Linked DNA regions of Coturnix japonica. The protein of the gene in region 1 purifies or fractionates together with the protein of each later gene. This does not show direct contact. Links are inferred from orthologs where the notes say so. Each region holds a gene or a part of one and is shown on either strand. Other genes may lie near its edges. The genes, in order: cadherin-1, SKP2 and PLEKHA7.

Region 1 (9,861 bases):
CACCCCACAGAGCGCCCCTCTGTGTGCGGGTCTGTACCCACCGTGGGGCGCAAAGCAGAGCACCCACCTCCCGGTCCAGCCCTGTGCCCAGCACGCTGATGACGCCCTTGGCTGGGTCGATGGTGAACATCTGGGGGTGCGGGCTGGGCGGCTGCTGGCTGACGATGGAGTAGCTGACGATGCCGTTGTCCGTGTTCACCGCATCGTCCGCATCCGTGGCGTTCACGGTCATCACGGAGGTGCCTGGGCAGAGCCAAGAGCCGGGCAGACGTCACTGGTGGGACGCGGCACCGCCGCCCCCGGCACCGCTCCATCCCGGGGCTCCCGGCCCCCCGCCCGCCCGCCAGCCCCCACACCTGGCTTGGCGTTCTCCTCGATGTAGCCAACAAAGACCTCCTTGACGAACACGGGCTTGTTGTCGTTCTGGTCCATCACCGTGATGATGATCTCCATGGGGTCCTCCACGGGCTGCCCGCTGGCTGACACGGCGTGGGAGAAGAGCTGCAGGGGGGGGCACCGTCAGCCCCACGGCCCCGCACGGCCCCGCCCGCCCCACGGCCCCCACTCACGGTGTAGCGATCGATCTTCTCCCGGTCCAGCTGCTCCGTCACCTCCAGCCACCCCGTCTCACGCTCGATGATGAAGATGCCCACGGGCGGGCTGTCCGCGCCCTGCCCCGTGATGCTGTAGTACACCTTGGACTCCTTGTCCTTGTTGGATTTGATCTGGCGGCGAGGCAGGGTGCTGAGAGGGGACACCCAGGGGCTGGTGCCCGTCCCAGTGACACCACGCTCAGCCCTCGGCCCCGTACCTGCACCAGCCTCATGGGGTAGGGGCCCCGGTGGTTCTCCAGGCAGCTGATGGGGGGGATGACCCAGTCCCTCTTCTGCCTCCGGAGGAAGCCGGAGTCATGCTCGGGGAAGGTCAGCACAGACGGTGTCATGTCCTGCAGGAACAGCAGCTCATCCTGGTGCCTGTGGCAGCACAGAGCAGCCCAGAGGCACCTGCTGCTCTTGGCCCGAAACAGTTGGGCTGCAATGACCATGGGGACTTCACCTGCAGGTGTTGGTGGTGGTAGTGGCGGCGGTGCCTGTGCCTGCCCACAGTCACCCGTGCTGAGTGCCTCTTGCCCGTGGCATCCCGTGCGTAGATGATGAAGCTGATCTCCCTCCCATGGAGCGTCAGTGGCCGTTTTGTTGAGACGACGCCTTCCATGTTCACCTTGAAGCGCGTGTCAGACGGGACATACACGGCCCACGGCCGCCCGCTGCAGGCTGCAAAGCTCACTGCGGGCAGGGGAAAGCGTGGGCAGGGTCACCCCACCATGCACAGAGCATCCCCATGCACCACTGCATGCACAAGAGAGCCCAGGCACAGAGCACCCCTGTGCACTGCAGTGTGTGCAATGCAGCCTGTGCGTGATCCACTGTACCATCACAGAACCATCCAGGCTGGGAAACACTGCAGACATCCCCCACCCACCCCACCATGCCCATAACCGCATCCCTTGGTGCCACATCCCCACAGTCCTTGAACTCCCCCATGGACGCTGACTCCACCACCCCCTGTGCAGCCCATACCAACACACTGCCACTCTTCCAAAGAAATTCCTCCTAATACCCAACCTCAGTGTTCTCCATCTTTGCCATGTGGGCATGGTGCATCCATACAGAACATGCCTCCATGGCACAACGTGTGGCACACCACTGCTGCCCTGCCCGTGGCTGTGGGCTGAGGGTGCTGTGCTGCTGCTCCGGCTGCTTTTCAAATCAAAACAAGGGCTGTGTCTGGCTCAGATCCGCTGGCACGTGGCCACCCCAGCAGCCAACTGGGATATGAGTCTGTGCAGTGGGGAAGGTGCACCCAAGGGCGTGAGACAGCAGCTGGGGCACCCCTGCTGCCCAGGTATCCATACAGAGCTCCATCCCCTCTGCTGCTTGGGGTTCTTTTGGGACAGATGACACCCCGGAGTCACCCTGCTGGGTCACAGTGTGAGCTCCAGCACAGGCCATGCAGGTCTGGCAGTGCTCACAGCAGGGACCAGCATACCAGGGCTGAGGACAGCCTGGGGGGGACCGCGCAGCTCAGCAGCGAGCAGCAGCATCACATGAGGCTGGGCCGCATGGCTGGAGCTGCCAGAACAAACGCTCCTTTGTCTGGGGATGTTTTGTTTGAGCCGGCAGCACTCAGCCGGGGTCCCCCTGACCCGCACAGCCTTGGCTCCCACATGGCCGTACAGCACGCGGGGTACCGCCATGGCCCAGCAATGTGCCCGGGCTGGGAAGCACGGAGCTGGGCTCCCCAGGGGCGGCCGTCACTGCCGGGACCTGTCCCAGCGTCCCGTGTTACATCAGCCTGCAGGCAGCCCAGGAATTCAGAGACAACATCGAGGGGGAGGTAATGGCAGAGCTGGGCCGGGGGCTGCTCGCCCACCGCCGTGCCGCGCTCCCTGCGGGGCGATGCCAACCCAGGCGGGCCAGCCGGTGATACCGGCTGTGCAGGGCTGTGCTGGGGCACGCCGGGCGCTCCCGCACCGTGTGCTCGCAGTGGGGAGGTGCCCCATCCCTGCGGGTACCCGGCTCCTGGCACTTGGCCGGCGGAGCGCACCGTGCACAGCACCCGGCCCCGCACCGCTGCTAAGCTCCCCCTCTCCCCCTCTCCCCATCTCCCCCTCTGCGCCCGGCCGTGCACAACCTGTTTTTCCAGCTCCACACTTGAAAGCCAGCCCCTCCCAGCTCCATTCTCCCCGGGGCACTGAGCCAATGGGGCCTCGGCAAGGCGTGGGGCAGGGGTCGAGCTCAGGGGCTCCTGCACTGCGGGAGGCAACTGAGTGCCACTGATTTCCTGGACCTTCAAATGCGTTTGGCCGTGGGGCCCAAACCAGCGAATTACCGGCTCAAAGCTGGGGTGGGGAGGTGAGCCCTCCACACTGGGCTGGGACCTGGGGACACCAAGCTACCCCCATTCTGCTGCGACACAGGAAAGTGTCTCACTGGGGCTGGGCACAGGGTGAGTCACAGGCGCAGCCAAGTGCCACCATCCCAATGTTCTTCCCCATCCCCACGCAGGTTGTGCAAGTGCGGCTGTGCCGGGGCGGAAGCTGGTGGCGGGGAGAGGCACACGTCAGCCATGAGCAGCCAGGGTGAAAGTGCTGCAAGAGCGCAGTGAGCCACACGTCCTGCCAGGGCCTGACATCACCGAGTTTCACCGTGACTTCAGACTCTCGGTTTTCTCCCATTTGGGGCTGATCCGGGACCTACGCAACTGGGAAGCGTCACACCTGGCTGCACACCCGTGTTCCTCCCATAAGGTGCCATACCCACACAGCCGAGGGCTCCCTCAGAGCTCCTGCCTGGGATCCACCATCCCATCCCCTCCCTTAGGACCCTTTGCTCAGTAAGTGAGGCTGAGCTGAGCCCCAGGGATGCGGGGCAGGTGCTGTCTGTCCTTCCCTTGGGGTGTGGGGCAGCAGCAGCCCCAGCACCCAGCAGAAAGCATCGTGCCGTGCAGCTTTTACAGCCCGCATTAACATGGAGGAAATTGCTCCTTCCTCCACCAAGCCCTTTCATCAGGCAGGCAGCTGCAGCGCCGTTGGGGAGCCCAGAGCTGCACCCACCAGCCCCTGGAGCTCCCACTGATGTTCACCACCCGAGCGCTGTGCGGGGCCAATCCAGACCTGTCTGACTGCAAACACAGCGCTCGGCTCATCGGGTAATTACAGGGAAGCTCATCACGCTGCTCGTGCTGAGCCACAGATGGGGCTTTTGAAAGGCTGCACGGCACGGAGGGCACGGCAGGATGCTCTGTGGTCAGGCTTTGTGGCAGCAGCGCTGGCACGCGCGGGCAGACCCAGACAGGACGCCCAACTCCCACACACCCCCCCTGTCCCCAGCCCCAGACGGGAAGTGCTGGTGCTCGGCAGCGGGGATTTCCAGCTGGGAGCCATCGCTGTGTGCTGGGTTAGTGCTGCCTGGCACACAGCTGCCCGTCACCCTGATGTCAGTCACTGCCCCAATGGGCACAGCCTGCTGGCGCTGCACAGCCCGGGTAAATGATTAACAGAAAGTTCACAAACATGGAATGCGTTGGTACAGTGCAGGGTTCAGCTCCCAGCCCCGATACTCCCCAGCGTGGGCGAAACTCAGACTGGAACTCCTGAGCCACCCTTCCTAAGAACCACCACCCGCACCCACGCACGGCTCTGCACCAGGACGGGCGCTCGGCACTTGGATGTGGGCTTGGTGCTGTTGTGAGCTGGGTGCTGATGTGTGCTGGGTGCTGGGATGTGGGCTCAGCACAGGCTCAGGGCCGGGCTCCATGCCCCACACCCAGCCTGCCGGCCCCAACAAGCTCTGCCTGAGTCAGCGCCGCCCGCCTCGGTGCTGCTGGGAGAGGCGCCCACTGCCCCTGTTTGCCCCGGCACCTGCACCACCGGGCTGCTCGTGGAGCTGGGACACGTAGGCACGGCTCCGTGTGCCCATGGCCACCAGCACTGAACTGGACATAGTGCAGCCGGCCCTGACAGCACGCAGGGCACACGGGCACTTAGCCATGGCTTTGTTCCCCATGGCCACCCTCGGTGCCACGCACCCAGCCCCCCATCCAACCATATTTCTATGCCACTTTGCCACGCACTGAACCCGTCCCAACAGGAACACCTTCGTCCTTGGTACCAGCCACCTTCGGTACCACGCTGAGCCTGTTCCCGTGTCTCTCATCACCTCTGGTGGCGCACACCCAACCCACCCCCACGACCACAGCTCTGTCCCCCCAGCCACCCCCGTGCTCCTACCTCGTCCCAGCTCCCTGCCCGCCGCCACGCTGTCCCGGGGCACGCTGAAGGTGAAGGTGTCTGCAGCAAAGCCGGGCTGGCAGGGGGCTGCCTCGTCGCACCGCCGGCCGCACACCTGCCCGAGAGAGGTGTCAGCCCCGACCCCTTCCGTCCCGTTCCGTCCCCTCCGTCCCGCCCGGCAGCCCCGCACCTGGAGCAGCAGCAGCAGCACCAACACGGGGAAGCGCTGCGGGCCGGGGGAACCCCACCGCCGGCCCATGGCTCAGGGACCGGGCCGGTACCGCCGCGGACGGAGCTGCCGAGCGCTGCCTCCGCCAAGCGCAGGTGGGAGCGCCCCGCCCGCAGGTGTTGGCCCCGCCGGGCCCCTCCCCGCCCCGCTCCGCCTCACCGGGGCCGCCCCGTCCCGCCCGCCCCGTCCCACGGCGCCGTCCACGGGCGCGAGGCCCACGGGGGGACGAGGGGGCGGCGGGGTCGGTCCCTTCTGCGAACTGCGGCGCTGCGCTGGGGCCGGGGTGAGCAGCGACACTCAGTGCTACCGCCGCCCCCGCGGCTGCAGCGGGGCAGAGTCTGCACACAGACACTGGGGCTGCTCGTACCGAGCTGGGACAGAAGCCGAGCCCTGGCCGTGGCACGGCAGCAGCAGCGCTCCATTTCCCCCTTAGGCGCCGTGCTCAGCCGGCGTGGTTAACGCAGTTAAGTTGTTTAATGCACTTATTGCTGAGCGCCAAGCGGGCAGAGCCCTGGGGATGGGCAGCGCTGCTCCCTGCACTCCCCATCGCTGCACACAGGGGATGGGGCTGAGCCAGCCCCGGGTGAGGGGGGTCTGCTCTGAGCCCTTGGGGTGCACAGAATCACAGCGAGACAGAGAAGGGTCTTAAAAAAGGAAAAAGGAAAACCACATCCTTTATTAAAACTTCCCTAAAACTTCTACAGCCCCAGCTCAGCCCGCTGGTACCATCCTGGTACCACAACAGTACCACCCTGATACCACCCCGGTACCACAACGGTACCACCCTGATACCACCCCACTACATCAAATTCATAGTTGCTTAAAAAAAAAAAGTTGAAACACACAGGAGGAAGCCAAGGCTGCTTCAAACAGCACAGGGAGTGCAGGAGAGGGCAGCGCGGCCCCAAGGCACGGGCAGGGTAAGGCTTTGGGCAGCAGCAGCGCTGGTTGGGGGCTAGTCATCGTCTCCCCACCGCCATAGGAGCTCCGCCAGCTTCTTGAAGCGGTTGCCCCACTCGTTGAGGTAGTCGTAGTCCTGGTCCTGGTCGGAGGCGGAGGAGATTGAGGGAGCTAGCGAGGTGGCTCCGACCTCCGCCTCGTAGTCGAACACCAGCAGCGGAGTCGTAGGGGGGGGCCGTGGGTCCGTGTCAGCCGCCTTCAGGTTCTGTAGGAGGGCAGAGGAAGGGCTCACCCGCTGCTCCCCCCGCGCTCAGCCCTATGGGATGGGGACGCTGTGGGCAGCCCAGCAGTGCGGCGGCAGAACGGTCGGGCTCACCTCATCGATGAAGTTTCCGATCTCATCGGGGTTGGCCGGCCGGGGCGGTACTGGGGGGCGGCCATCAGCGGTGGGGGCCACGTCATTGCGGATCACCTCAGGGCGGGCGTCCAGGCCGCGGTGCAGCTGGCATCAGGTTCGTGAGTCCTGCGTGGGGATGGAGCAGGATGAGGCTGACACACAGGGAGCACTGCTTTACCCCCCATCCCCAGGCCTGGGCCTCACCTGGTCCTCCTCACCCCCACCTTCCTCCCCATAGTAGAAGATGTTGTCCCTCGTGTCATCCTCAGGCAGCAACAGCGGCTCCTTCACCACCTTCCTCCTCCTCACCAGGAGAAGCAGCAGCAGCAGCACAACTGCAGGAGAGGAGCTGCATCAGTGGTTCATCCCCACGCCACATCCCTGCAGCACCCCCACACTCCGAGCTGTTGGGCACTCACGCAGCAGGGCCAGCACAGCGCCCAGCACGGCGAGCACGATGGGCACACCGGTATCCACCCGTGGCTTCTGAGCACAGCTCTCCACCCTGCCCTGGCAGTCACACACTTGTGCTCTGATGACAGTGACCTGGTCCTTGCCCTGGCGGTCGAAGAGCCGCAGGTAGACATTGTACAGGTTCTGCTCCAGGGGCTCCGTCAGCCACAAGGCAACGGTGTCACCTGTGCGGGGTAGGTGACAAGCCTGACTTCACCATGTTGGCTCACGTGGGACCAAGTGCAGCACCACCTCGAGTCCCCACGTTACCTCCACTGCCAACCTCCACCGCCCAGCTGTCCCCAGAGCCGTGGCTCAGCTCTGCACGGAAGGGCCCGGTGTTGGGAGGCAGGTCCCGGTCGGTGATGGTCAGCACCTGGGGCACAGGGCTGCGGTTACAGATGACGATGTCGCGGGGCTCGGGCTCAGGGCCGTGGTCATTGACATCCAGCAGGGTGAGGAGCAGCGTGCCAGTGCCTGTGGCGGGTGGCAATCCTGCAGGGAGGAGTGGGGCTGGTAAGGGACCCTCGGCAGCAGGACTCCCATGCTGGCAGAAGGCGTTGTGGGCAACGCAGGCACCACTCCCTGCCCTGGGGCTGAGCGGGACGCAGCCCCCGTGACACCAGCAGCACATGTCCCTCACGTGGGACTGCAGCCTGATGGGAATGTGGGAACAAGGGCCCTTTTCACAGCCGCCACACTCACCGTCATCCACAGCCAGCAGCACGGCCATGTAGGTGCTGTTCTTGGTGAACGGGGACTCACGGTCCAGCTGTTCCCGTGCTGTGATGAGGCCGTTCTCAGGGTGCACGGCCAGCCAGCCCGCGGGGTCACTGCCCATCACATACCTGTGGGCACAGTAGGTTGGTCCTGCGGGGCATGGCAATAGGGATCCCTCTGTGACCCCAACCCAGCCCTGCTCACTTGATGCGCTGCTGCTGGGCTCTGTCAGGGTCCTGTGCTGTATAGGAGGCAAGGGGCTGCCCCAGCGGCACATCCTCTGGCACTTGGGCCAGCCGCAGCGGTGGGTCGAAGGCAGGAGCCTCATTCACATCCTCCACATTGACCGTCACTGTGGCTGTGGCTGTGGGCAGCTTGATGGCAAAGGGGGCTTCATTGACCACAGCCACATGGAGCACAAACTGCCGCTTGGCCTCGTAGTCCAGACCCTGTGGGAGGGAACAGGATGGGTAGCACTGCCCAGGGCTGGTGGCTGTGCTACAGGGACAAGCAGGGGATGCTCACCTTGGCCGTGCGCAGGACACCCTCGTTGCTGGCAGGGTCAGTGGTGATGGCGAAGGCACCGCCCTCGTTGCCCCGCACAATGGAGTACACGGCACGCCATGCTGGTGTCTGTGGCTCATCCTGGTCCGTGGTGACCAACCGGGCCACCTCCAGCTCAGCTTCATTCTCTGGCACAGCCGCCTCATACTGTGGATTAGGAAAGGTCAGCACGAAGCCCACAGCACCTGGCATAACCTGCCCCCATCCCGGCCACGGTACCGTTTTGGGGTCAAACTCCGGGGCGTTGTCATTGACATCTGTGATCTCAATCACAGCCAGCGCCGTCGTGGTCAGCCCCTGCCCGTCCAGGTCGGCCGCCTGCATGGTCAGCGTGTACTCCCGCACGCGCTGCAATGGACAGACAGACATCAGCACCCACAGCCGCACTGCCAGGGTCGCCCTGCGGGCAGGGTCCCACCTCCCGGTCGAGGCCGCTGGCGATGACGCTGAGGGTGCCGGTGGCGCGGTTGACGGTGAACATGTGGGGATGGGGCTCCCGCGGCTCCTGGCTGAGGATGGAGTAGGCGATGACACCATTGTAGGTCTCCACATCATCATCAGCATCCGTGGCATTCACCTGCATCACCGAAGTGCCTGGGGGGCAATGGGGGGGGGGGTCTGTGTGAGAGGGTTGGGTACGGAACACGCACCCCCAAGAAGGACACATCCTGCAGGAGGCAGAGCCCCCCATGCAGCACAGCCCCACCTGGCAGCGCGCCTTCAGGCACGGAGCCCCGGAACACCTCCTGTGTGAACTGGGGCTTGTTGTCGTTTTGGTCCGTCACCGTCACTATGATCTCCATCGGCTCCTCCACGGGTTTGCCATTCTCGGACACGGCGTGGGAGTAGAGCTGCAGGGCAGAGGGGTGAGTGTGGAGACAGCACGGCATGGGGGTGAACCCAGCGCCCCACAGCAGGGACCTACATGGTACTTGTCAATGTGCTCCCGGTCCAGCGGCTGCGTCACCTTCATCCAACCTGTCTCCTTCTCAATGGTGAAGATGCCCTCGGGGGGAGCATCCGCCCCCTGCCCGGTGATGCTGTAGAAAATCTTTGCCTCCCGGTCCCGGTTGGATTTGATCTGGGAGGAGATGCAGTGGTGTGGGGCTGTGCCTCCCCAGTGCAGGGTGAGCCCTCCATGCACCCCTCAGCCACGGTACCCCAGTCTGGGTGCAGGATCCGTGCCCGTGGCCAGCATTGTGCTGCCTTCGATGCACACAGCCATGCCCAGCCATGAAACCCCACCCAGACCCTTGGAAGATGCACACAGACACAGCATCCCTGACACCAAAGGGCCCCCCCATACCTGAACCAAGTTTTTGGGGAAGGGACCCCTCTCGTTCTCGGGAACTTTGATGGGAGGGATCACCCAATCCCTCTTCTGCCTCCTCAGAGCGACGTGAGCAAGGGGGACATCGGGGACCTCCTGCAGGAAGGGGGGCGGTGAGGGAGCGGCCGCACGCGGTGGGTTCGGGGATGGGGCTGACAGAGCGTTACCTGCAGGGAGCGCCTGCTCCGCGCGGGGACCCGCGGGCTGCTGCCATCCCGGGGCGGCCCGACGTGGGGCTCCTCGATGTCAAACAGCACCGCGCCGTCCCCAAAGGTCGCTGCGATAAGCAAAGGGTCAGGGGGCCGGGAGGGGACGCAGCCCGCTGCCCCCAGGCCCGCACGCCATTGGAACGCCCGCGGGGCTCCACGTGCTCGCAGTCCAGCTCCAGGGAGGGGGATTGGGAAGGTCAGGGCCGCTCCCAGCACGGGGGCGGGCAGCAGCAGGATCGCGCCTTGTCTTTGTTGCGGAGATTACGG
Region 2 (9,861 bases), on another chromosome or scaffold:
TACCAGTCATAGTACTGTTTTGTGTGCAGCTACAAGAGATGTAACCTGAGGACAAAGGCACAGTAAACAGCCTGACCAGAGCCTTTAGCTCGTTATGTAAATTTGAAAATACTGCTTTTTAAAGCAGATGGCAGACCTGATCTTTACGCACTGTGCATTATACAGATACTGCCTTTCTTTAAGAAGCTCAGCATCCAAGTAATCAGATCCAGCAGCAGTAAGTATTAACTACCCAGAGCAAGATTAAGGTTTTGTCTGTCCACTGGGCTACTGCAGTTTGATTAAAAATAGTATTTTGCAGAAACAAATTGAGTAGCTTGTCCAACATCTCACAGGAAGTCAGCAAAGAGATCAGGGTGTAAATCCCACATCTACTGAAGCTCAATTCAGTGACTTTTGAGAGCAGCTGGTTTAATCGCTAGACCCATCAATCTGAACACGGTGCATCAAATACTGAAGAACTGTTCTACCATGGATGGAAGGGCACAATGTTTTCTGCCATTCATACTGTTCTCTGACTGCATGGGGAGCTCTTGTACTCCGCACTCAGATGGTATCTTCCACAAACTTGTATGCTTTCACACTGTGAGAATTACATATTGCTTTCATTAAGAAAATCAAATGGATATACATGGGTTTTTAACCAACCAAGACCTCCTTTAAGGATGACTAAAGAGACTCACAAATAATTACTGAAGTATTTCTTTGCTATTAAAGAAGAAAATAGATTGATGGAAAGAAATTATATAAGTATTCAGGTAATAGCCAACAGTTAAGCATTTGAGAACATAGTAAGCCACATAAGAAACACAGTGACAGACAAATACAGTTGGAATGCTTATAAAAAAAACAAAAAGGACAATTCCTCTCAGAAGTTAAGAGTAAGTAGGAATAGCAAACACTATTTTTGTCTTACATAGTACATTTGCTTAACATCAGCTCCAAGGCTTCTGCAGAAAATCCTGAGCACCCACAAAGATTCAGTCGTATCAGACCGGGATTCTTAGCAATGCTCCTGTAGAAGAGAAAAAAAAAGAGAAGTCTGATAAAATCTTGGAACTTCGCTTTTATTGCTAAGATACACGATAATGTTTAAAAGTGAAGATGTTGTGCACAGGTTTGTTGCATGTTCAACACTGTATCTCTAGTAAATTGACCTACTAAAAGAGTCACTAAGGATCTCAACTTCCTGCTGCATCACAGCACAACTTGATGAAGAACACTTGTCTGTTTAAGCGCTGGTCCAGACATGCTTTTGTATTTCTAAGCCAAACTAGACAGGAAATAATTCCTCTTCAACTTCTCCTGTTACATTTCAATGAACAAACACCATGGCCTATTCAAAATCATTTTACCTCTACAAAAGACTAAGCGATCTCCCTATAGCACTTACTAGTGAAGCATTGGAACAGGTTGCCCAGAGAGGCAGTGGATGCCCCATCCTTCCAGACATTCAAGGTCAGGCAGAATGGGGCTCTGAGCACACTGTTGTAGCTGTAGATGTCCCTGCTCACTGCAGAGCAGTTGGACCAGATGACCTCTAAAGGCCCCTTCCAACTCAAATGATCATATGACTCAATTAGATGGAGTCTAATTTTTCAGATACTTTTTTCAGTGAAGGTCAACAAAGAAATGAGAAACAGTACAGAAGCACACAGAGCATCAGGAAGAAGAGTTGCTGGAACTCCTTAAAATACAAAAGAATATGTACACTAAACGTGAACGTGCCCTGGGAGCATAGAAATCACTAAATAAAAGTAGTTCTGCTCTGCAGCTCACAAGCAGGAACAGTAAAAGGACACAACTGCCACAGAGATAAGCAGTTTATCAAGCTTCCAAGAACCCTGAGAAATTTCAGAAAAACAAAAATAAACAACAAACAACTGTTCCAGAGCAGTGTTTCTTTCCCACTTGGTCTCTTGGACAGGTGAGAAAAAGGCAGCTTGTACAACCTGCCGGCTAAATCCTTTAAATGGCTAGAGCTGGCCATTTCAAACAACTCCCACAGGGGGCAACAACTGTATTCTGTCCCTAGCCTGCACAAAAGAATGGCACTGAATGTAAGTTATTTACAGAGCATCCCCAAACATTTCACTCACTTCATGATATCATCAGAAAGCACTAGTCCCTCCAAGCTTAGGTTCTCCAGTCTCTCACAACGACAAAGAATGCTCTGGAGATCTGCAACAGCTACTGTGCAATTTGACAAATCCATGTGTTGAACTCTGAGAGGCCTAAGAGATGGGAAAGCATGGTTAATAAAACCGCACCAAAAAAGCAACTACAAATTCCACACACCATAAATCCAAGCAATACTGAGCAAGTGTGCAAAGCTTATAGAGAGCAGTTGTATTTGTGAATTTCAGCTGCACACTGTGTAGACTGTTAACCTTGCTGGCTGTACTAATAACCCACTAGCCAAAACTCTAGAACTTTTATCTTTCTGGTATTCACAACATCTCCAAATCTACCCTGCTGGAGCTAGACTGACTTTTGAGGTTCACATGTAAAAATGCTGACAAGGCTCACATTTCTTGGTTCTATAAGAAATAACTTGCAAGAGCACAATGGTGCTGGAAGTATACTTCCAAATACCATGTTAGCTTATTTCTTAATAACTGACTGATGAATACAGCTCTTACTTCAATATATGCCTAACCACTGATCAGCTATTCCACACTCCACAGAGATGACAAACGCTAATACTGGTGAAGATGTTAAAAAAAAAAAAAAGAAAAAAACAGAGAAACACTGAAGATTTGAGACAGTTCCATGACTCAGTACACAGCGAAAGCCTTACTTCATGGTTTTAAACAGTGGATTCCCAATACAAGATCTTGGGCAGCGGAACACAGTAACTCCTGCAGGTAGCAACTGTCCAATAACTCCTGGCAGCAGACTTCTGCAATTCAGATCAAGAGTCTGCCAGAGAGATTCATCAAACCTAGGGAGCAGAATTTGCTCATTAGCAAGGAAAAGTCACACCTATGTGTACAACTACAGAAACTTTCCAGACTCCAAAAAGACTGAGGAAGAAAAACCACCCAGGACAATTTCATAATGATAAAATAATTGAGTTATAATATATAATAGACTGAATAACACTTGACCACGTTAGATGGAAACCAAATCATTTATCAACCTATGGAAGCAAAGTTCTTCTTAGCATTAAGTGACGAGAAGTAATACTTACGACAGACGATGCCACCTCTTACAAACCATGGAAACTTTCAGCAAGTCATTCAAGGGCAGATATGCAAAGATTGCCAATAGAAGTTCATCTGGAAGTTCATCCCAAGAAACACCTTTAGGGAGAGTGAACACGCTCTAGTTAAATCTGGCTCATTTTTGCCTGCTGATGCCTTATTCAGTTTGGTTGCCAGAAGGACCACTACAGTATGTCCCTGGACTCTACATACTACTCATCTCTCTTTCACCTCTTCATTTTAAGAAATATACTTCAGGAAATGAGAGCATTTCATCTATTTCATTTGTATTCGAAGGCTTGTATGTTTCCCCAAGTGCAGGAAGGGAAAGACTTTTCTAGACAGACATCTCAGGACTTCTTGTCTCTATACATCCCTGCTGAAATGCCCATCCTTGCAACATACCTTACACCCCAAGAAGGGCCCTAAGTGCTCTTCAAAACATCTCTCAGAATCTGTTTAAGTTTACTGTGCGTAACCCCAAATTCTCACATGCAGATACAGTGCAAGTGCTTCTGTCTGCCCAGGAAAAAACTGTACATGTTGGAGCTTCCAACAGCTGCCTGTGACCCAGAGCTCATTCATCACTGCTCTGAGGACTGAATCCTTCCCCTGCCAGCCCAGAGCCTCTTTCCAGTAGGGACCCTTGCACCCATTACAGTCCAACCCCAATGGAGTGGAGGGGCTGCTCCTTGGCACCCTGAAGTGAAAGATGCACATCTGGATTCTCATAGTCTGGAGGGCTCAGTTTCTCAGTTTTAAGATTTCTATATACAAAATTCAAGTCCCTGAGTTTCAAAATTATATTGGGGATGGGTACAGCAATAACTTCTGTTAATTCAGCAGGGTAAATGAAGGCAGGGCTGCCTACCAGTACCTGGCTCTGCCTCTCGGAGCAGACGAGGTCTGCGCACGATGACAAACTCCTTCTCCTTCACCTTCAGCCGCTTGTGGGGTGTGCAGGCCGGCAGCAGAGGCTCCTGCGGGGTGTTCTCATTGCCCAGCCTGTCCTTCTTCAGCACCGACACCCCCATGCCTGACAGCAACTCCGAGGCCTTGCTGGAACCCCAGTCCCAGCTGAAGCCAGTGGAGACGTTGCTGTCGGAGGAGGGGATCTCCTGGAGATGTTTCCTGCAGGGATTGCAAGACTCGGGTGAACCAGAGCTCTGCGAGACCACCGCCACGTTCTCTGGAAGCCGCCGCGAAGTACAGAGAGCCCCGTAGCAGAGAGCAGGTCTCGCTAACAACACATATCCCCACCTAATGCAACAATACCCACTAAGAAAAGCTTAACTTTAACCCCATTAGAGCGGGGCGATCCCTCAGCTCACATCTCGCCTCACGCGGCCGTTGGGCGCCAGCAGCGCGCGGGCAGCGTGTGGAGAAGCAGCGCGCCTCAGCGAGCCGGACCGCGCTCCTCACAGAGCCACACGCCCCACAGCCCATCTGCCCCCATACCCCGCCAAGCCACACGCACACACCCCCATCCCTCCTCCCGGTTCGTATTCATCCCTCCCCGCGGGTGCTGCTCCACCGTACCTGAGCATGGCTGCGGACGGCAGAGCGGCACAGCCCCGCTGAGCGGCACAGCCCCGCTCCTCGCAGCGCCCTGCAGCCCGCGCGCCCGCCCGCCAGCCTCGCACCGTCCCGCGCATCCCCAGCCGGCCGGAAGCCGCTGTGCGGGCGCTGCCGGGAGTTGTAGTTCGCTCCCCGCATCCTGTGCCCGCCTCCCGGCCGGGGGCGGTGACAGCGGCGGCGGTGACGGGAAATGTCGGCGGTGCCGGGCCCCGCGGCGAGGAGCGAGTCGGGCGGTGCTGTGTGTGTGGCGGTTTGAGGCCTCGTTTGGGGAGAGGTGGCAGCGAGCATGGAGGGCGGCCCAGCCCCGCGGGACGGCGGCTGCTGAGCGCGGTGAGGGGCGGCGCGGGCCGCAGCGCCGAGTCACGGGCGGGGGGAGCGCGGACGGGCTGGGCCCGGCCACAGTTCCTGTGTCTGGGCTGCGCCGAGGGCTGAGGAAGGGCGGGATGTGACGCTTGTTGTTCGGCTTTTTAGCCCATTTCGGTTGTCTGATTTTCTCCCGAGGAACACGGGCTGTGTGTTGCAGAGCGCACTTCGCTGTCTCCGCTCCGGGCTCCGCGGCCGGGCTGTGTCGGCGCTGTGTGGAATCCGGCCCCGCGCTCAGCTCCTCGCAGTGCTCACAGGGCCGTGCCCGCAGCACCGCGACGCGTGGCACATGGGGCCGGAGGGATAAATAAGGCGTCGTTATGATTTCAGTTCTGATTTTCTGAACAGGCCGTCTGTCTCACTGCAGCATTATGGTTGTAACCACACGGAGACCTCCTCAGTGACACCTGTTCTGTGTGAGCATCCCCAGGCAGGCCAACATTACAAGTTTTGTTCTGGGTTCATCCTACGGCTGCACGGCTTTCTTATTATACATCGTAGTGCCTCCCTGCTGCGTGTTCTCTCTGCTACTATTTCCAGGGTGTCATATGCAAAGACTAAATGTTTAGTTAGTTTTAAATCTTGTTTACATACATTATCACAAAATCATAAAGAGGCAGGGGTTGTAAGGGGCATTAACCCAGTTCTAATCCCCCTGCCATGTGCTGGTTGCCTTCACCAGCTCAGGCTTTCCAGGGCCTCATCTAGTCCAGTCTTGAGCACCTCCATGGATGGGGCACCACAGCTCTCTGGGCAGCAGTGCCATCACCTTACTACCCTCTGAGCAAGGAATCTTCTCCTAACATCTGACCTAAATCTCTTCTCTATTAGTTTAGAGCCATTCTCCCTTGTCTGGTCGCTATTGGACCATGGAAAAAGTTTGTCCCTCTCTTGCTTGTAAGCTCCCTTCCTGGAGAGGAGCAGGCTCTGCAGGGCATCAGTAACAACATCAAGCTTGATAGAGTTCAGGAAGTGTTTGGACAACGCTCTCAGACATATGGTCTGGTTTTTGGGTGGTTGTGTGCGTAGCTAGGGGCTGGCCTCAATGATCCTCGTGGATCCCTTTAACTCAGGATATTCTGTGATTCTGTACTTTCCAAGATAATTGAAATTGCAGGTGCTAATACAATACTAGTTGGTGCATGGTTTGATCTCTGTTTCTTGGAAGAACAAAGCTATGCAGATTGCACCTGTTGGTTCATTTCAGAGATTATTTCTTCCGGGTGGTGCAGTAGGGTAACTGCGCTGGTCAGCTTCATGGACAGCTGAAGGCCTGTTTCTTTCTGTTGGTAGTTTTGTCAGTGCTAAGAAGCTCTTCATCTGTCATCTGCTTATCTGATCCCTGTGGTGCAAGGGTCAGTGTGTACTATGGAAGCTGGGAGGAAACAAAATAAAAAGACAAACAACAGACTGAGCAGAGCTGAGTATGAAAGTGTCTGAAGGGGTTGTTTTTCAGCGTGGTGTTACCTTATCTTCCTTTTAGTGTTTATAAAACATGAGATATTCCACTTTATTTTTTAAAGATGAAAGTTTCTAAAGCTTAGGGTTAAGCACTTATATTGGTGCAGAGGATTTAGGCATGTCTTTGGGATTCTTACCAGACAGTTTAGCAGAGTAGGGCAGGCATCAGAGCCCTGTCACAGGTGTTATGGCAGACACTTTTTCTTTTGCCAAATATGCTGGAACACCCTTGTTGACGGCTGGGAGATGGCTGCCATAAGGGCAAGAGCTCACCATGGAACTCAGCACTGATAGTGTGCTGGAGGTGGCTGCTTTCTTAGCTGTGCTCCAGAGCTGTGGAATCAGCTTGAGGTGGGAGGTGCTGTTTCACAGATGCTTTTTCCAGTATGCTTCAGCTATCTTCGATGTTGTTCTTTACAGCATCTCTTTCACGCTTCATTAACTTCTTTGCTGGGCCTTTCTTCACAGATGTGCACTGCTATTATTAGCCCTGCCTTGGATTACCTCTGTTATAAAATTGAGTGCTGTTTAGAATCTTCAAGAAACGACTGGGTTGTTTTTGTGCTGTTTCATCTAGTAACACGTAATTTCTGTGCCAGGCTGAGTGAGCAGTTAGTTCATTTGTAATGTAAGTACCCCTGGGCTTCTTCAGTCTCCAGGCTGCCAAGGTAATTTAAGACATGGTGGTAGGCAGTCTCTGAGGTAATTAAAGTGTGAACTGCCCCTTTTAGTGTTCTTGCTAAGTCCTTAGCTGTGTTTGGACCTTCAAAGATTTCCTGTAGCAGTTTTGAAACTCCTGTCCTGTATGGGGATACCCAGGTTCTTCCATTCATAGGATTCAAAACACGTGGTTCTAGTCCATGTCTAAAACAAAACAGATTTCCATCTAAATTGCAACAAGTTGAGGGTGCTTTATCCTACAGTGATGGAGTGTGTCAATAGATACTCTTCCTCTCAGTGATAAGTTTGTTACTTCTTGTAATTAGAGGAAAAATAGGAAGTTCCGCACAAATGTGCGCAAGAACTTCTTTACAGTGAGGGTGACGGAGCACTGGAACAGGCTGCCCAGGGAGGTGGTGGAGTCTCCTTCTCTGGAGATATTTAAGACCCACCTGGACGCCTTCCTGTGTGACATGGTGTAGGGAGCCTGCTTTGGCAGGGGGGTTGGACTCCATGATCTCTAGAGGTCCCTTCCAACCCCTACAATTCTGTGATTCTGTGATTCTGTGATTCTGTAATTGCTTAACAGAAAGGTGAGAGCAGAAAGAGCTCTTCTGAAGTAGTTTGCTGATCTCGGGAGAAAATTCTCCAGGGTTCAGGAATTTTAGCCAGCTGGTTCAGGGGAGTGCTAGTAGTTGAGAAACATGATTGTGGGCAAGCATCTTTCTGTAAACTAACAGCCAGCTTCAGAGGTAAATTCTGTTTCCCACAGGCAAACAGTAATATATTCTAAGTCCTGATTCTATTAGCAAGGGTCCCAGGTATGGCTGTCCTCCTAAGAAGATTTTGTTCACAGCAAGAGCTCCACTCAAGAAACGTGTTTCTCTCTTTGCAGGACTTTTTAAATTTTATTTTATTTTTTCCCTAGAACTACTTTTTACTATTTTCTGTCTTATAGTTTTTGAACCAAATCTTTGAAAGTGAATTGAAGCTGTGCAGGTTCTGTTCTGTTGTAGGCTATAAACTATAAATTCCCTCTTGATTTTAGTGTGTTCAGTACAGGCTCATAACATTTTTGAAATCTCTGGGTAAGAACTGAGTGCGTCATCTCACACACAAAATTTTCATGTTATGTATTGATTGCAGCTCCTTAGGTGTGACTGTAGTAAAAAGTTCTATAGGTATGACTCATGGAGCGTATGATGTATAATTTTAATGCATAGCATGAGGTGTGGCTATGATGGGCATCCAAAGCTGCATTTGTCAGACAGCTCTGCCTTAATTAAACTGGTTTTGAGTGGGGAAGAAATGCTCTGTTTTAGTGGAATTTGCTCTTATGCTATAATGTAAAAGACTTCATTTTCTGAGGAAATGAGAATAGTACAATAGAATACATAGAATGAGCTATCAAGAAGTAGATTAGATATATTGAATTTGTGGATTATAAATTAGCCGTCCTAAATGCAGTACAGGCAAATAGTAGGGGGATGTTTTGACTTGATAAAATTACCAATTATTTGGTAAACTTATTAAAAAAAGTGGACAGAACATAGGAAATGAATGTGTACAGCTTTCATAATATACAAGAAGGCAATTCAGCCTACTTTCAGAATATGGGGTGCTCTGTATAACAGATGTCATGAAGTAAATAGGCTGCTTTCACTATCTGGAAATTAAATGCAGAAGGAACAAAATGGGGAAGAACATTTTGATGGAAAATCAAGTTAAGCAGGGTAAACATTTTGTTTATTTTACTGTATGAAGTGTTAAGGATCAGAAGCAATTTTAGTAACCATGTAACAAGGTGGTGACATTTTCTCTAACAGATTTGTGCAGCTCACTGGTCTTTTGCTTAATAGCATGCCTGTGCGAGGACGAGCTTTCAAAGATTTTTAGCAGTCTTGACTGTAACAGTAAGTCATCCCAGAGGAAAAGAAAATATAGCAAGTCTAATAATGAATGGAGACCTGTGTTCTTCTGGAGAAGAGCAGAAGAAAAGTAGGAAGGTGAATTAGCAAACACATTGCCTCATATGAAATTTTAGAAGAGCTGCATTGCAAATAGCTTTGCTGTGTTTTTATGCTCTATTAACTCTTGAGTAGGGAATTTAAATTTGTAATTGGTGTACAGCCCATTAAATAGAAGTTTCTCAGTAACTTTTTGGAAACGTTTAACTTTAAACCTTTCCTTTATTCAAATTACTCGCATTCTGGTTATAGACTTTCAGGCTATAGAAAATGATTTCAGGATCTTCTGGACCACGAAGATGCAGAGGAGTTCAGAGCATCTTGCAGAAAATCTTGTTCTCTGTTTTTAAATGAAATCAGAAAAACCTGTTAGTAAGTTTAAAATATAAACTGAAAACTCGTTTCTTCCTAAGTATCTCTGAGAGATTCTAATGTAATTAAATGACATCTTGTCTTGCAGTTCTGATCAACATTTTTATGTGAGCTGTGCTGAGTGCCTGGAGTCAACCTTCAATAATGAGTGGTGCAGCGTTGGGCCTTGAGATTGTGTTTGTCTTTTTTCTGGCCTTATTTCTACTTCATCGATATGGAGACTTCAAGAAACAGCATAGGCTGGTGATCATTGC
Region 3 (9,761 bases), on another chromosome or scaffold:
CTAATGGGAAGAAATAATAGTAAAAGATCTCATGGTTTGTGTATATCGCTGATCACGCAGTTTTTCTGAGTGATTTCCGAAGCAGGATTTTTTTGTACATGTGGGGATTTTTAACCAGTCCTGAGATCTGATCATTGTAAATCCATCATTTGGTACCTTGTAGTCTGATTAATCTCAGAAAGACGTAATGAAATGTGCAAATTTATAGTTTGCATCGTGCCAGTCTTTCAAGATATCCCATCCACAGAGTGAGTTTACTGCAGGCAAATAACACTCTCCATCATTTAAATGTTTGTGTTCTTGGCATCCTGCTTGTTGATCTATAACTTGACTGAACATATTTTCTGGGCTAAGACAGAAAGTAGAAATCAATTGATATGTCTTCTCTAGTTCTACGAGGTGTAAGAGCTGTTAGTAAAATTTTTCTCTTTCAGGTTTATGGGATTAATTAGCAGTTATTTTGCAGCTCCTGGCAAGTGACAGATTCCTGGGGTTGTGAAGGAGTTTGTAAGCAATTCCTAACAACAGTGTTGCACAGCCCTCTGCCTTTATAAAACCACGTGGGAAACGAACAATACTATTAATTTTTTTCTTAGTGCCTGTTGTTTTTTATTTTGTTTTATTTATTTATTTTTTAAGGAAGAGTTATTAGGCATCAATTCCTTAGGAAAAATATCAAATTACAGTAAATTAACAAGATTACTTATAATCTGGGGTCTGGGGGGGGGGGGGAGGAAAGGAAAGGAAACAACAAAAATCCACATGCCTTGAATAGCTGTTTACATCTGTGGTTTTTGATGATTGCAATAAACATGTATCTGAAGTGATGGCTTCAGTAGCTACAGCCTCTAGCCACAAGATACACGAAGGCAGAGTCCAGACATTAGAGAAAGCTTCCCATTGTTGCCTGTTGGGAAGAATTAGTAGAACAAACAGGACACAAGTTGAAACCAAAGAATGCATCATATCCAGTAGCCCTAACCACCCAAGCATAGAAAGAATTAAGTTTGTCATCCCTTCTCACTTAGTTTTGGTTGTATATTTAATTCATTGCATGTTCTTAGGCGATTGTATAGCGTTATTCGTGGACACTCATATATTTTTTCTTCTAATATTGGGCATTTCCTCTAAATCTGTGAAGAGGAGTTTTGTAATGCTACCTTAGCATCCTAAAGTGCGCTAAAGGATTTGAGAAACTAGTTCAATTTAAAAGGCACTATAAACTCACTATATATAGAACCAGGATTTTGTAGCCTGAATAATATTGTAGAGAACAGTATAGAGATGTCTCATTCTATATGTCATCTTTAGGAAATCTTCTGAGACTCAGGGAAAGCTCTAAATTCTATGGGTCTGTGTGCAAGATACGTTGATCTGTGGGTAATGTGGTTTTCGCTTGTTTTAAATTTTAAAGTAGTTGTGTAACCAATTTCTATGCCTGTAAGTTCTGAAATGTTACTTTGGTTTTGGTAACAAAAGGATAAATGCATCGTAAATTTAAAAGTTTTTTGTTGTTGTTGTTGTTTTTTTAACTATCAGGAGAAAACACAAATACAGAAGGACTTGTGGAGAATTGAAGATGTTACGGCTGGCTTGAGTGCAAATAAAGCAAATTACAAAACCATAGTAGACTCCATCAAGAATCCAGGTAAAGAGAACATAATTAAAATGTAAAAATATTTCAAATACAGTTGAATTTTTGAGTCTATGTGGATACTCTAGAGGTATGTTCAGAGCAGACAGCATAGTTAATTCTGATAATGTCTGCACTGGAAATCTGCAGTTTGAACACATTGTTTTGGTGTTTCTTTGGCTGAGCCAGCAAAAAAGTGTGTGTTTTTCTGTTTGACATACTGAAGCATAACAAGCCATAAGAAAAAGAGAGCAATAGCAGTGGGATAAGTTATGCAGGTCAAAGAAACAGTTTCACACGTACACCAGAGTCATACCAAAGTAGTATCTGTTCTGTATGGTATCTGGGAGCTCCTCTCTGTACTCATCTGCTTTTTTTTTTTGCCTCTTGGATGCTGCCTGACTGCCCTTGCTCCAGTTGCTTGGTGGGTAGAGCAGCAGCATCAGCCATGGAATAGAAGAAGGAAAAGAATGTGTGGTCTGCATTTTGATTGCTTTATGATGTTTCGAATGAAAGAGGAGAATTCTGGGAAAGCAAGAGGCTGTTAATGCCTCTTGTAAATTCATCTTGTATTTTGAGTCTATTTTTGCTTACCTTTTTACGCTCAGAGATTAAATTGTTCTTGGTGAGATTATGTTTTATTTAAGGTGTGGCTATTGGTTCTTAGTCATGTCTAGCTCTGTAGCCATCTGATGGATTCTGAGGTATGGAGCCATATCCAACCATTGTAACGATTGCGTATGATGTGTGGACTTCTCCTTTTCTCCTGTTGCCTCTCAACAAGGGTTTTCATTGAATGATGTTAATGTATATTTTTATTTTTAGCCTTGAAGGCTTATTTGATCCTCATTAAGGGAATGTTTCCCACCCCTGCCTAATCTAGCAGTCATAGATTTTTATATTAAAACAAACAAACAAACTCAATTTGTGTTGAAAATAATGTGCAGAGTATTAGGGCTGTTTTTTAAAGCTTAGTGATACTGATTTCTATTTGTATGAACATTGTTGACAGATATAAGAAACACAGCATCTAACAAATGTGCATATTTCTCCCCTAGAAAGAAAAATAGTGCCTTCATTTTCTCAGTCTACAGTGCCTTCCTTACCAGCTTCTCTCACAACCGTGGAGAGCAAACCTTCAGTTCCACAAAGCCCTCCGTCCAGCCAGGTCAAACCTTCCCTAGAGGTGAGGCTGTACCCACAGCCTTATTTCCAGGCCAGAACACAGCAACAAGTACCACAGCTGAAAAAAATTGAGCCGCCTCTTCAGTCGCCAGTTAGGCTAATGCCAAAGGTTGTAAGTACTGTTACTGTGAGCCTTGTTCTCTGCTGTTTCTGTTTGCTTCTAGCAGAAAGCGTTCATGGTTGCTAAGTGCATGCAATGTGGAGGCACAGCAGGAGCCACCCAAGGGTTGTAATCAAACAGTGCAGCAACAAATACACAAGAGTATTTAGAATCATAGAATCACTGAGGTTGGAAAAGACCTCCAAGATCATCCAGTCCAACTGTCCACCTATCACCAATGTTGCCCACTAAACCATGTCCCTCAGTACAAAGTGTAAATGTTCCTTGAACACCTCCAAGAATGGTCACTCCACCACCTCCCTGGACATCTCGTTCCAGTGTTTGACTACTCTTGGAGAAGAATTATTTCCTAACATCCAACCTGAATATCCCCTGCTGCAACTTGAGGTCGTTTCCTCTATTCCTATGTTTGTAACCTAGAGGTTTACTCAAGTAGCTATATACTGTTTCAGAACATACCAAAGCAGAAGAGCCTTCTTTGCTCTTTGGTAATGCCTTTTGGTTCATTGGTTGTTTGCTTTCTTGGGTCTTGTTTGCTTATAAGAACTCAAGCTTCTGGTGGACAGAGAAGAGCACGGTAAAGCAATCATAAATAATTTGTATAATGTTATGAACTTTCAGACAGTTTATTCCAGACTGTTTGCCATATACCTGTGCTTTCCTCTGACCAGGAAGATGAAGCACCACCCAGACCTCCTCTCCCTCAGTTATACAGTCCTGAAGATCAACCACCAGCTGTTCCACCACTCCCAAGAGAAGCCACCGTCATCAGACATACGTCAGTGCGAGGCCTGAAACGTCAGTCAGATGAAAGAAAGAGAGACAGAGAACTGGGACAGTATGTAAACGGAGATTATAGGGTGAGCACTCATACACCATCTGCGCTTTAAGGAACATGTGAACCAATAACAGATGATAGTGTCTGTGAAATATGTATACTGCTAGATCTTCTAATGAGAGGGGAGAGACAGAAAATGGAAGAGATCTGTATGTAATAGTAACAGCAGAGACAGACTCACTAATCCAGAAACAAAATTGCTGGGATTTGTTTTAAGACTTGCTGTCATGATGTCATTTCAACCAGTAAATATCTTTCCACACAGGTAGAACTGCGTTCATATGTGAGTGAACCAGAACTAGCAATGATAGGTGGTGACCTCAACCAACCTTCCAGTGGTTTTGTAACCATTGATAGCGGATACCAGACATTGCCTACTCGTGGTAAGCCAGGAATTAACGTAGATGATTTTCTACAGTACTTTTGGTATAGGAGCTTCTCTCCTAGGATTTTCTGGAGATTATTTTATTCTTGACATTGTTATTTTTAAATTAACTGTACAGTGCTGTGAAGTTGTAGAGAATCTGTGATTTTAACGGTGCTGTTATGGATAACCACCCTTTGGCAAAGGAGCTTCATATGTAATTCTTAAAAGCAAAGAAACAGAAACCATAGCAAAACAATGCAATTAGCTGTTCAAATATCTCCTGTATTCGGAGTTGCCTTTCCTTATTTTTGTGTTGTGTTTATAAACTCGAGTTAATTTTTTTATAAAATACATGTATTGCCTGTGGGAGTCAATGAAATGTTAAAGAATAAAAACTTAATGCCTCCAAACACTACAAGTGACTTGTCAGTAGGACCTCAGTGCTAAAGTCATTTCACCATGAGGTGAGGTTAGAGAGGATATTTGGGGAAAAGTAGTCAGTTTGGTTTTTGAATCCCTGTAGCTCCTAAACACTGTTAAGGTTTGATTTTCTTCATAGATGTGACTATTTGTAAAGCATATCTGTTGTTGCGCAGCTGAATTCACCTCATGCTTCATTTAATATATGTTTAAAACATAGTAGATTTTTCTGTGTTTTGATCAGTAGTGACCTGAAATGGATCAGCTGTGGCTGAAATGAAATTTCCTGCTCCTCATGGCATTCTGAGCTAAAGAAAAAAGTGTGAAATGTGAACTAAAATAATGAGAATATCGTCAGGAAAAAAAGTATCTGGCACATCTTTGTTTTGTCTGTCCCTTTGGTTTTAAAGCATTTTCTTTTTCCTTATAAAGGCTTATCTGGATCAACTTCCAGATTGCACCAGTCATCTACCATTTCATCATATGCAACTCTTCGAAGGGATAGGTCCAAGGTAAGTTTTAAAAGGACATCTGAAGACTACTGACTACTGTCTTGATCTTCCAAATTGTTCTTAAATCCAGAGCACATATTGTACAGCAGGAGATGGAATTCTAGTCCCATGGGAGAGGTCCCATCTCCAATGATCTAATACTATTTATTTTCTAATTCTCTTGAATGAGTCAGGAAGTAGAAAGATGACTTACTATGTTTCTAATAGATTTATAAAAACAAAATTTGGAATCAAAATCATCTGTATTAATAGATATTATAATGTTGAAATATTCAAATTAATACAAAGCAATAGAGCAAAATCATCTTTGTTAGAAATAAGGTGGGAGAAAGATGCTGTTTATTTGTATGCTCCTTATAAACTATTAATTCCAGCACATTTTCTGTGTGCCTTGTAACTTCTTCAGGAGAGACCAAAGAGTGCCTTGGAACGTTTATACTCTGGAGACCACCAAAGAGGCAAGATGAGTGCAGAGGAACAACTAGAAAGAATGAAACGGCATCAGAAGGCATTAGTTCGTGAACGCAAGAGAACCCTTAGCCAAGGAGAAAGGCAGTCTGTTTCATCTCGGTCTTTCATCAGGCCCATTTCTGCAGACATAGGCTCAGTATGTTAGATATGCCTTAAAGGGACTAAACTAGAAATGTCTTTGGATTTTTTTTTTTTTCTTAGCAAGCACTTTCACTTGAGCGTGTGTGATGCTTCTAGTATAATTAAATCAGTGTTATACAGTATAAAATGAGTTCAGAGAGTGCAAGTAACAGATGGTCATTTTTTACTAGTAGTTACAGTGTATGTAGCAGATTCGGCAGGTAAGTTGGTCAGAGGTCCGTGTGCTGAGTGGAGGTGAGGCTCTGTTAGAGTGAATTCAGAGATGTGATTGTTTTTTATTAGCACTGTATTTAGAAAGTGTAAGAAACTTCTAGGATTTTCAAACTGCTTCATAATGGAATGGGCCTTTTAGAATGTTCTTACTCACCATGGTTATTTTTCTTTTAAATTCACAAATAAGGCTGCAAGATAGTTGTGATGATATCAGGCCAAGCAGGTTGTGTGGTTGGTTTTTCTTGTTTGTTTTTAAGGAAAAATGAATAATAAGTTTTGAAACCTAATCCACGCTTAGTAGAATTTTAGAATCAAATTGGTTTCGGTTGCAGCAAGTCCTCCTTTAAAGCTCAACATGTAGAATATTCTAATAAGGCTCAAATTTAAGCTGCTGAAGAAAAAGAATTTTTGTTGTGTTTTGAGATTAAATGCTGTACAGAATGTAAGTTTGTAATGATATGTTTTGGATACTAACCAAAGCAATTCTAATTGGTGAAGCTACCCAGTTGCTCACTTGGTGCTAAACCAAGATTGTACTGTAATTGCACTTACGCTGTAGCCTTTTAATTTATTTTTCATTTGGTCCACTAGAGCTTTAGAACAGTCACCTTGTTTTACCTAATTCATTGCACAAGATCTCTTGCTTTTAGATTTGTCACTCATCATACCTAATGCCTCTTTTTGTTTGTTCGTTTTGTTTTGTTTTTAATTTGCAGAATTTTGTAGTTATTTTAAAATTTCTAACTGGACTACTCAATTTTTACCAGGCTTAATTGCATTTAGTACATGTGTGTCAATTGCTGGCATTTAAACCACCCCTTATAATATTCAGCCTTTCATTCCCACTGCTCAGTAACGCTGTTTTACAGCCAGTTCTTTATATTTACTTTCCCAGTAAATATGAGTGCACAACTCTAGAGACACCCATCTATTTTGTCTTCTGTTTTGCAATCACAAAGTTATTCAAGGCAGTACGTCATACTTGGGAAGTATGGAACTATAGCAGAACCTTTATTTTCATATCTTAATTAGAAGAACTAAATCTGAGATTCTAATGTTTCCCAAGTCTAACGTAACATACGCAAGTTGAATTTAAACATTTTTGTGACACTCCTTATTAACACTTGTGACAAGTACTTCATCTATAAATTGGGTGCCATCTTGGTCTTTTTCTTGCTGTAAAGAATTGAGTCTTTCAGCCCTAGCAGTGTTTTGCAGAGATCATATCTTGTACCTACAGGGCTTCAAAACGCAAGAAGCATGTTCAATAGCACAATTACTTACAGCATTGCAATTATTTAGCAGCCAAAATGGCAAACAGTTAAATGTATAATTGAAATGCTGCTCAGTATGTAACATTTGCTTAAAACATGCATTGTATGTGTAACTCGACTTTTTAATCAGTCAGCTCGCAAGTGTAGAATGGCATTTGAAGTATGGATCACAGTACATCAGCGCATTTGTTATATACAATGCCTTTTTAATGTAAAAGTTGCAACATCAAAGCCAATAAAAATTTTGCTTTGTAATAATGGTTTGATGTTTTTCTTACCTACATAACACAATTTGAAAATGATACTGTGTATTTGAAATGGACTATGTCAATCAGGCCTGGTTCGAATATGAGTAGAATAAGAAGTCTTGAGAGGGAGAATGATAAAAACATTTTTTTCTCCTTTTGAAATCTTAAAAAAAAAAATAAAAATCTTAATTTTTGAGATGAAATTGACCTTTCAGGTACATTAACTTTCCAAATATACATAGAGGACACGTATCTTTTGAGTGAATATCGAGAGCTTGTGCATGAATAGGTTTCAAGTGGATTTAATAATGCAAGTAGCATCATGGAGGCGAAGGGCTTCATGTAGATTTCAGACTTCAACCAAAACAAGCCAGAGATATGTAATAGAAATATTAAACATTTGTATTGAATGTAATGGCATGTTCTCCTACTGATAGCCTTAAATACTTCAAGAGATCGTTCTACTGTTTTATCCCTTTTCTCCCCTGCTGCTTTTAATCCATTTTAAGTCTGTATGGTAAAGTCACTGAGATCTGCTGGGTGGAATGATGCTGCAACAGAGCTTAATTTTTTTGTCTCTTATGAACAAATGTACTGTTAGGTTTCTTAAGCTTGAGTTTATATGGAGCTGTATTGTGAGTAGCTGTGAAGGAGCTGCTAAGCAATAATCTGGGAGCTCTTAAAGTTATGCTGTTTAACTATGCTCTTACTGTATTCTTGCTGAATATTTATCTTGTAAGGAGGATGTATAAAATTCTTAATTTTTGCAGGTAGCTAAGGTTAATGGAGTGTAAAGTAGCCTAAAAGTTATTACATTTATTGTGTTTGAATTTCAGACAAGTCAATGCTAGTACTAAAAATACCAGCATTAATCGCTAAGTCTTTTTCTAGGCATGTAGAGCTAACAAGCAGCAATTCTCAGCCTGCAGTATCAATGTCCTTTCTGTTTAGTAATTCACAGTGTTGCAGCACTGCCTGGTCAGAATACCTAGAGCAAGGCCAGCACTGCAGGCTTGCTTGTACTGACACCTGTACTTCCATAGATGTTTGTGCTGGTACCACGTTCATCAGCATATGAGATTAATACTTGTGATATACTTTAATACAGTTGCACACTGTGTATAAAATTAAACAGTACTCTGAAATCCATGCAGCATAGCTAGAAATGAAATCTCCCAGACAAGAGTTGCAAGAAATACAGCAGCATTTTCTTTTTTTCTATCAGTTGTAAGAGTTTGCGCTGTGGATTCTCTCAGCAAAATAGCTTTTGCAGACACAGTTATGTACACTGCTGAATGTTGAATTTGCCAGTACAGTTGAATGCTATTAATTGTTTTGTATCTATTGCCAGTGGAAACGAGAGCAAGAATTTGATTTGCAGCTACTTGAGAGGGCAATTCGTGGAGAAGACAAGGATGAAAATGAATGGTTAAAAGTTCAGCCGGTAGCAGTAGCGGTGACAGAGACAGACCTGGAGCCCCAAGACTATGATTTAGACATCAGCAGAGAGGTAACACTCATATATTTGCTTCCTACTGCATTCCCCCTGATGTTAACCTTAAGTTTTATGTAGTTAATTTTCATCTTTTATTTCAAATGTGAGCTGGAAGTTCAAACTGAAAGGAGTCTTCTGGGTATTGAAAAGGAGGCATATTTCTGGCCTGGCTCTTGGGGTGTCTGTAGGGTTTGTGTTCATATGATGCTCTAGTGGAGAGAAAAAATGGGATGGTTAGCTCTGCCTTGTGAAATATATAGGCTTTATAGGGAAAAGTGGTTGTTAGGCAATGTTTATGAGAATTACGCAAAAAAAGACGACAACATAAAGAGCATTTAAAATAAGAAACTGCTAAGAAGTAAAAGTTATTTCCACAGAGCTGCCTTACTCTTCATGTTGATATGGCAGAAAACGTTCTGCTGGCTATTCATGTGACTTGTTCCCGGGGCAAGATTTGTTTCCAGCTCTGCTGAGTTCAGTATTTGTCTGAAATGCAATTGAGCCATCTAGTGGAAAGGGAGGAACATAGCAAGTGTAAGACAGGTAATGTGCTGTGTATAACGGCACGGTGGAGGGGAAGTCTATGAAATTGTTAACGGTAGGAAGACTTCTAGACTAGGAAGCACTTTGACTAAACGGGCCATCCCTGTTTGATAGCTTTATTTATCATCTGGATGAGGGGGATGGAGCTCACCCTTGGTATGTTTGCAGACAACACCAAACTGGGGGGAAATGTTGATCTACCTTAGGGTAGGAAGGCCCTGCCGAGGGATCTGGACAGACTGATCACTGGGCTGAGGACAATTTTATGAGCTTCAGCAAGTCCCAGTGCTGGGTCCTTCA

What was found.
Region 2: the proteins of cadherin-1 (region 1) and SKP2 purify together in Homo sapiens (affinity purification with western blotting; 3 studies listed by BioGRID and IntAct, with this or other methods). This does not show direct contact. The link is inferred for Coturnix japonica from reciprocal best matches to the Homo sapiens genes CDH1 and SKP2.
Region 3: the proteins of cadherin-1 (region 1) and PLEKHA7 purify together in Homo sapiens (co-immunoprecipitation; 3 studies listed by BioGRID and IntAct, with this or other methods). This does not show direct contact. The link is inferred for Coturnix japonica from reciprocal best matches to the Homo sapiens genes CDH1 and PLEKHA7.

Annotation. Positions count from the first base shown.
Region 1 is NC_029526.1:16,821,939-16,831,799, reverse strand, and holds the start of cadherin-1, read right to left. Parts: upstream 5,123-9,861; 5' UTR 5,052-5,122; coding exon 4,983-5,051; intron 4,908-4,982; coding exon 4,793-4,907; intron 1,287-4,792; coding exon 1,057-1,286; intron 947-1,056; coding exon 812-946; intron 726-811; coding exon 570-725; intron 502-569; coding exon 357-501; intron 244-356; coding exon 68-243; intron 1-67.
Region 2 is NC_029547.1:10,062,841-10,072,701, reverse strand, and holds the start of SKP2 (S-phase kinase-associated protein 2), read right to left. Parts: upstream 4,889-9,861; 5' UTR 4,862-4,888; coding exon 4,746-4,861; intron 4,338-4,745; coding exon 4,084-4,337; intron 3,306-4,083; coding exon 3,194-3,305; intron 2,945-3,193; coding exon 2,801-2,944; intron 2,235-2,800; coding exon 2,100-2,234; intron 1,016-2,099; coding exon 917-1,015; intron 1-916. Other genes in the region: G-protein coupled receptor-associated protein LMBRD2, read left to right, coding at 9,752-9,861. UniProt on the Homo sapiens protein: Substrate recognition component of a SCF (SKP1-CUL1-F-box protein) E3 ubiquitin-protein ligase complex which mediates the ubiquitination and subsequent proteasomal degradation of target proteins involved in cell cycle progression, signal transduction and transcription.
Region 3 is NC_029520.1:15,654,325-15,664,085, reverse strand, and holds part of PLEKHA7 (pleckstrin homology domain-containing family A member 7), read left to right. Parts: intron 1-1,539; coding exon 1,540-1,648; intron 1,649-2,691; coding exon 2,692-2,930; intron 2,931-3,610; coding exon 3,611-3,799; intron 3,800-4,042; coding exon 4,043-4,160; intron 4,161-4,996; coding exon 4,997-5,076; intron 5,077-5,482; coding exon 5,483-5,683; intron 5,684-8,774; coding exon 8,775-8,933; intron 8,934-9,761. UniProt on the Homo sapiens protein: Required for zonula adherens biogenesis and maintenance. Acts via its interaction with CAMSAP3, which anchors microtubules at their minus-ends to zonula adherens, leading to the recruitment of KIFC3 kinesin to the junctional site.